2 linked regions of the Rhinolophus ferrumequinum genome follow. The main gene of each other region encodes a partner of the protein of the gene in region 2 in a complex. Links are inferred from orthologs where the notes say so. Each region holds a gene or a part of one and is shown on either strand. Other genes may lie near its edges.

The links.
Region 1: BICD2 (region 2) and BICDL1 share a complex: the UniProt entries of both Homo sapiens proteins name them as parts of the tripartite complex. The link is inferred for Rhinolophus ferrumequinum from reciprocal best matches to the Homo sapiens genes BICD2 and BICDL1.

What each region holds. Positions count from the first base shown.
Region 1 is NC_046308.1:12,849,882-12,853,790, reverse strand, and holds the start of BICDL1 (BICD family-like cargo adapter 1), read right to left. Parts: upstream 3,032-3,909; 5' UTR 2,989-3,031; coding exon 2,560-2,988; intron 1-2,559. UniProt on the Homo sapiens protein: Acts as an adapter protein linking the dynein motor complex to various cargos and converts dynein from a non-processive to a highly processive motor in the presence of dynactin.
Region 2 is NC_046295.1:742,350-746,258, reverse strand, and holds the start of BICD2 (protein bicaudal D homolog 2), read left to right. Parts: upstream 1-847; 5' UTR 848-1,081; coding exon 1,082-1,321; intron 1,322-3,909. UniProt on the Homo sapiens protein: Acts as an adapter protein linking the dynein motor complex to various cargos and converts dynein from a non-processive to a highly processive motor in the presence of dynactin.

The sequences.
Region 1 (3,909 bases), on a different chromosome or scaffold from region 2:
ACCTAGAAGAAATAACATAACTGAACTCTCCATCACTCAGCTTCAACAATGATTAATATTTTGCTTTTGAAAAACAAACTTTAAAAAAATGTTATTTTTTAAATTGTGGTAAAGTACAGCAATCCCCCCTTATCTGCGGTTTCGCTTTCCACAGTTTCAATTACTCGCAGTCAACTATGGTCCAAAAATAGTAAATGGAAAATTCCAGAAATAAACAATTCACAAGTTTTAAATTTTGCACCCATCTGAATAGCGTGATGACCTCTCAAACCCTCCCACTCTGTCCTGCCTGGGAAGTGAATCATACCTTTGTCCAGAGTATCCACCCTGTATACTATGCTCCCTGCCAGTTAGTCACTTGGTAGCCCTCTGGGTTAGCAGATCATCTGTCGCTGTATTGCAGTGCTTGTGTTCAAGTCACCCTTATTTTACTTAATCGTGGCTCCCAAGTGCAAGAGTAGTAATGCTGGCAATTCAGATATGCCAGAGAAGCTGTAAAGTATTTACTGTAAGTGAAAGATGAAAGTTCTCAACTTAATTCTTTTATTATTAATTATTTTTGTTAATCTCTTACTGTGCCCAATTTATAAATTAAACTTTAACACAGGTACGTATGTATAGGAAAAAAACACAGTATATATAGAGTTCAGTGTTATCTGCCATTTCAGGCGTCCACTGGGGGTCTTGGAATGTATCCCCCTTGGATAAGGGGGGATTATGGTATACATAGCATAACATTTACCATCTTAACCATTTTTAAGTGTACAGTTCAGTAGTGTTAAGTACATTCACACTGTTGTGCAACCAACCTCCAGATATTTAAACTTTTAGTACTAGAGGTCATATGCTGACCTACAGGAGTAAAGATTTTTAAAAAACAATGTAAGAGCTTTAAACTATTTTATTATCGTCTATCAAGTCAATAACAAAAAGTCATAGGTAAATTATTCTTTTTACAATAGAACCTTTCTTGTTATAGAATTTTGAAATTTTTCCTTTGTTAAAGAAATGTATAATGGCTCCCTCCACATGGAACCCAGGATGTGTGTAATTGCACACTCAGGATTACTCTGAAATCTATCACTAATCAAACTGACTGATATGATGTTCCTTTCAAGTCTGTTGTCTCTTCAATCAGGTCCCTCACTGAAGGAATTTCAAATCACAAGTATAAATCTCTGCAGTAGTACTTCTATAGAGTCATGTAATCGAATCTCTTTTAAAAAGAGACACCCTTTTATTTCTAGACCTCTACTTCAAGTGAAAATTAAACAATCCAATTCATTGGGTTGCTTTTTGGCAGTCTACCTATAGGTTTCACAAACCACTTTTCAGAGAGGTATCTCAGGAGTTCATCGACTGGCAGACCTAGTTAACAGGCCAACTGAACTACAGGGCACTCACTGGTTTCCTTTTTTCTCCCTGATTTACTTTTGATATGTTGTTGGACTACAGACACACTTAAATCTTATTTTAGAAAAGTTTCTGAATCTACATTCTGACTGTTCAACAGTAGTAGTGATACGGAACCAGACTAGGGTCAATTTCAGATCCTATTCAGGACTGTACTATTCTCTTGTAACTAATAAAAAAAAAGTGGTTGCAACCAAAGTGGGGAACAATAGTAAATGCACAGACAGAAAAAGATAAGCTTGTCTCCACTGCCACAGATGCTGCCTCCTTTTTAAATTTGATTTTTTAGAAATGGTGGTGTTCCACACTACTTTCAAGACTCTTTTCTAGCTAGTTAAGGGCAAGAAAACAAACAGGCATAGCTCTGAAAGACTTTGGCAGAAATCTTGCACACACTTTAAGGGGTATTTATAACAATAATTGAAGTAATTATTTTTAGGGTTTTCCTAGGTTGCATTAACTGTGCAGTTGCATATGTGAGACCCAGAACGGTACTGGTTAAATACACATAAAAATACTGAGGTCCAAATTAAATCCACTACCAAAGGTCACATGTTGAGCACAGGTTTGCCTGACTGCGACGGAACCACATTTCCTAATCCCTGAGTATTTGAAGGCTATATAAAGCTCCTTTAGGGGCACTTGTTTCCCACAAGTCTGAGCCGCCGGGAAGTTAAGACAAGGGCATCTGGAGGCCTTAACGCCAAAACTGGAAAGCTTTATGCTAACACCCTGATTAGAGATTAACTACTCTGAAAACGTGAACATATTTTAAATGCTTCCCTGTTCTCATTTCTCTGTGAGACATCACCTCAGTGCTGTATAAATTAGTCATACTGTAAGCTCTATTTTAGATGCTGTGTACAGTACATACATAGAACTGCCCACAGCGGTTGGACCTGTGCATGCGCCCATTTGTTGTGAGCGGGGTGGGAAAGTCGGGTGTATTCAAGGGATGCCCTGGTCTGATAATCCGAAACCCTCCATCCTATGCCCACTTCCACGCGGTTTTCTGTGAGGTAGGGTGAGCTAGGAAAGGGTGGAGTGGAATGGGTTGAGTGAGTGGCTCCAGAAGCTGCCCAGGGCCGGCCGGGAGGGTGCCCGGGCTCCCCTGCTTCCCACCCAACCCAGGAGGGACGTGCTCACCTCCAGTTTGTCTGTCAGCTCCTTGTGCATCTGTTCGTACTGCCGGCTCATGTCCTGGTTCCTCTCGAGCAGCGCCTTGCCCAGCCGGGCGGCCAACACCAGATCCTTCTCCTTCTGCCGGATCACCGACAGCAGCTCCCTGTCCTGGGCAGGCGGCGGTTGCAGTCCGGCCCCCTCGGCCGGAGACTCGGGCTCGGCCGAAGGATGCTCCCCGGGGTCGGACGGCCGTTCCCCGGCCGCCAGCAGCGCTAGCTCCTCCTCTAACGCCAGTTCCAGCTCCCCGGGACTCCCGGGGAAGGAGACAAGGGCGGCGGCGGCGGGACTCCCGACTGCGTCCGCGGCCGCGGCTGGCAGCTCCATGCAGCAGGCGCTGTCCGGCTCGGCGGGTGCTGAAGTGCGGCCGGCCAAGCCCAGGCAGAAGGCGGACATGGCCCGCGCGCGCGGAGCCCGCAGCGGTGCGGCCCGGCCGGCGCGCGCCAGGCTGCAGGGGGGAGGGGCCCCGCCGCGCCGCCCCGCGCCTCGCGCCGCGGCACGCGTCCCCCGGGTCCCCGCGAGCCCTGGGCGCGGCGCGCGCCTGCCCGCCCCTCCCCCGCGTCGGCGGCACGCGCCCCCTCCCCCGCCCCCGGGCTCAGCTGCTCAGCGCGCGCTGGGGAGAAGGGGGGGCGGCAAAGGGAAGGCTCAGGAAGGGAAGACTGAGGGGCCGCGAAGCGGGAGGGGAGATTGCGGGGAGGGCCGCCGCCGCCGCCGCCGGGTTTTCAGCCGCCCTGTTGCTGCTGCTGCCGCTGCCGCCGCCGGCCGGGCAGCGCCTCACGGGGCGGGATGCGCCTCGCTGTCGCTGCGACGCTTGCTGCTGCTGCTGCTGCCGGCGGCCGCTCTCTGCAGCCGCGCTCCATGTCCCTCGGCTCGGCGGCAGCCCCAGCAGCAGCGGCGGTGGCGGCGGCTGCTGCAGGCGCCGAGGCGGCGACTCCACATCGCGCACCGCGCAGCCCGGCGAACTCCTTCCTGCCTTCCTTGGCTCCTCCCGCTCACCCGGCGAGCCGCACCCCGCCCCGGGCTTCCGGCCGCACCCCCTCTCCCCGCCCCTGCCGACGCTTGACGCGCGCGGGCACCTGTTCGCCGCGCCCGCGCGGGATTCGCCGGCTCGTGGGTCTCCTCAGCGGCGCCCAGGTGGCGCCGCAGCCTTAACCCCTGCGCAGCCTCTCGGACTGTGGCGGTTACGCGCGCCGCCTGTGGAGGCGGCTGGCTCATCTCGAAGGGTCCAAGCTGCTCCCCCGCGCGACCACGCCCCCGGCCTCACGGCCACCTCAGGGTGTGGCCCCGCCCCCAGCACTGTCGCCTCAGGGTGTGGCC
Region 2 (3,909 bases):
GCATGGAGGGTGGGTTTGGGGGTTCTGAGTCTGGCCATCCTGAGTCACCCTTCTCACAGGGTAAAAAGCAAAACCCAGTGGCGACCTGAGTGATGCAATTGCGTGCTGAGACTCTGCACCGCCTCGGGATATTCCTGCCAAAGCGCACACCCCAATCTAACCATGGGGACACATACACCGGTGTGCACATCTCTGTCCAGCAGCCTCCGTAAGTCAAGGTCAAAAAGACAGAGGGAGAAAGTCTCCCAGATGGAGAAGAAGGAGACAACGTCCTTACGAGGCGTGATCCAGGGCTCGGTCCAAGAACTGGAACCGTGGCTACTGAGGGCGGCGTCAGAGTCGGCCGTCCTGAATCGGATCACTGGATTGCACATGGAAAGGTCGAATTCTTAGGAAACACGTCGGAGCATTTCGAAACTAAGTGGGGGGCGAAGGCGCCCCTTGAGCTAGCAGGTCTCAATCAGCGTGCTTTTGAACGCTGCATTTCCCTCAAAATGCCTGTCTGGTCGTCCGTTTTACTAGAAACTTCAAACAGCGAGCTTGACCATTTCTCCCACTCAACATGTGCTGCGTTACAGTCCCCCAGAAGCTGGGGCGCCCCAGGTGGGCCGGTACGGACGCGAGGCCGGCTCTCGGCACTCCCGGTACACGTGCGTCCACCGCGGGTTTTCCGCCTCACCGGCCCAGGGATGGGGACCCGGAAAATACCAGTGCTTCCGGCTCCGCAACGGCCTATCATGATCGGGGGTGGGCGGGCGCAGGGCATGACGAGACTTGTAGTTGGCGCACGGGCGGGACTACGGCAACCACAACGCTCTGGGCGGTGGCGGCCGAGGCGATGGCATTGGTACGGTCGACCGGCGTGGGACCCGGCCAATCACCGTTTGGGGCGGGCGGGCCCGTGGCACAACGGGCCTTGTAGTCCCGCGGGCGGGACTACCGCACCCATAGTGCCCCGCGCGGCGGGGAGCGCATTGCGGCTGCGCGGCGGCCCAGGCGCCGTCGGGCTGGGCGGTGGCTAAGCGGATGGGATTCCGGCCTGAACCCCGGTGGAAGCGACGCGAGCCGGGCTACGGCCACCATGTCGGCACCGTCCGAGGAGGAGGAGTACGCGCGGCTGGTGATGGAGGCGCAGCCCGAGTGGTTGCGCGCCGAGGTGAAGCGACTGTCGCACGAGCTGGCCGAGACCACGCGCGAGAAGATCCAGGCGGCCGAATATGGTCTGGCGGTGCTCGAGGAGAAGCACCAACTCAAGCTGCAGTTCGAAGAGCTGGAGGTGGACTACGAAGCCATCCGTAGCGAGATGGAGCAGCTCAAGGAGGTGAGGAGCGTGGGCGGCCGCCGCCACGCCCTCTGGCGTCCCCGGCTCGCGCCGCGCCCGGCCCTGACCCCTGATCCGACCCCTCACCCGGGCCTGGCCGACCCTCGAACGGACCCCCGACGCTGGGCTGAGCCGACCACCTAGCCGAGCAGCCCCAGGGAGTCCAGGGTCGGCGTGCACAGCTGGCCTGGAGTCGCTGCGCCCCCTTCGGTTCCGCCCCAGGGAGGGAGACGCGGTCCCCAGGTGTGGTGGCGGCGCGCGTGCAAGAGAACCCGGGCCTTCTCCGGCCAGGTCTGCGGTGGGGTCCTGTCGCCGGTCTGCCTGCTCCTGGTGGCAGGCCTCGAGCACGGTGGGGTGGAGTTCTTTGCGGCGTTTGGCTTCCCGGGTGAGGGGGATGGGGGCGTGAGATGGATGCAGGGAAAAGCCAGGCCTGGTCCTGCATCATCTCCAGGCAGATCACTTCTCTCTGGGCGCAGCAGTCTTCAGTAGTTCCAGTGCGTTCCCCGAGGCCAGAAAAGGGCTGGGAAAGGGGCGTGCCTTGCATGTGGCCGTTATTGCTGCAGGTTGGGGGTCCCCTGTTGTCCCAGGCACAGCTCTCTGACCATACCCACCCCCACTCCCAGTCACTTATCTGGGATGCAGTGCTTTTCCCGCCCACTTCCTGTCCTGGCCGCCCTCCCAGACCCTTCCCTGCAGACTGGTGACAGGTCTGTGGGCATTTGTCACAGAGGGAGCCTTGTGTCTCCTGTGCAGTTTTCACTCCGGGATAAGGGGTGGGACCATCAGGCTGCCTGAGAGCCTAGCAGCAGGACAGCTGGACAGTCCTTCCAAGAAGTAGTTCTCCTTAATGGTTTAAACACCGCTTTTCTCCCAGTCCTTGCTGACTTCTCTAGCCCTGTTGTGGGGGGCGGAGAGGGAGACGTTTCCTTCTAGTGGGACACCCAGGTTTGGACTCAGGCTCTACCCCCTTGCTGGTGACGTGGCTGTGGACAGGGGCCTTAACTTCTCCCTCTGCAGCATTGCCCACCCAAAAGGGTTGTTTTGAGGGGCATATACTTGAAAAGGAGGGGCACGGTGTCAGGTGCGCTGCCTGACAGTGTGCCCCTTGCCCCGCTGACTCTTCCTCGTCCTGGTGGCCTCTTGGCCCTTGGTTCTGGGATGCACCGTGCTAGGTGTTTTCCCCACTGCCCATCTCCTGGCACCAACGCTCCCAGAGGCCTCAGGCAGGTGTCCAGACTGTTCAGAGCCTCCCTGCCCCACTGGGGACACCAGTAGACTCGTCTTTTGAAGTGGGGAGGAGAGAATGAATGAATCCACGCTAACGCTTAAATCCATGCCTGGCCGAGCAGGTGTGCAGGGGAAGCAGCAGTGAAGAGCATGTGCGGGTTGGGGGAGGCAGGTGGCGGCGCATCTGATCCTCGGTCCTGTCACCTGTCAGCAGGTATTGGGGCCTCCTCTGAGCCCGCTTGGCTGGTACTGGATCTAGACAAGAGAGGTGATATGTGGCTCCTCCTGCAAGGGCCCCATCTTGGTGTGTGGGGGGGCGGGGGGCGCTGCACCATGATGGAGGGAGGCCAGGAGACTGTGAGAGTATGGAGTGGGAGCACCTTCAGCCCCATTCTGGTCTCCCTGGGGAGACCCCCCCAATCCTACCTCCCCACAGCACTCATAGCCCCCTTCTGTGTTCACAAGCTCACGTTCGTGTCCGCTCTAAGAACAGACCAGACCTACTGTCCCAGAGGGAAGTAGTTCTCACTAAGGGACCTTTCGGTTGTCAGCTCGTTTCTATTGGACACAAACATTTTGGCCAATGCAAGAATCTTGGCTCTGCTTACTGGGGTGTGTCTAGACGGCGGGTCCCGGAGGAATTGAGAGGCAGGTGTGTCAGTCTCTGCAGGTGTTCTTCAGGCACCTGCTTGCTTAGTTTGTTGTCACCTCCTGGCTCTTGCACACACTGGTATTTGGCCTTGGGCACGTGGCCCTGTGTCCTGAACTTCAGTTTCCCCCCGTTGTGGCAGAAGCCAGAGGAAGGTGCATCAGTCTCAGTGATGTTACTACTGTGTTTCCCCGAAAATAAGACCTAGCCGGACTAGCAGCTTTAATGCGTCTTTCGGAGCAAAATTAATCTAAGACCTGGTCTCTTATTATGTTACATTACATTGTATTATAGTATATTATACTATACTATATTATGTTATATGACACCTGGTCTTATATTAAAATAAGACCAGTTCTTATATTAATTTTTGCTCCAAGAGATGCATTAGAGCTGATGGTCCGGCTAGGTCTTATTTTCGGGGAAACACGGTAGAAAGCTTGCACCAGTTCACTCACACCCATGCCAGCACAAGCTCTGTCAACCTCTTTAGTTTTGGCCAGTGTCATACCTGAAAATATTAACTTGTATTTTAAAAACCAAGATTTAAATAGACAATATTTGTTAGGTCCTTTTTTTTTTTTTTTTTGTCCTGTAGAGAGGTGAACCATCTTCATTCTCTTAAAACTTTATTTCTTGAACTAAAGTGGATTCAGTTACTAACAAATTACGCTGCCAGTGGAGTTGCCTGGACTTGGGCCCCGCACTTGCA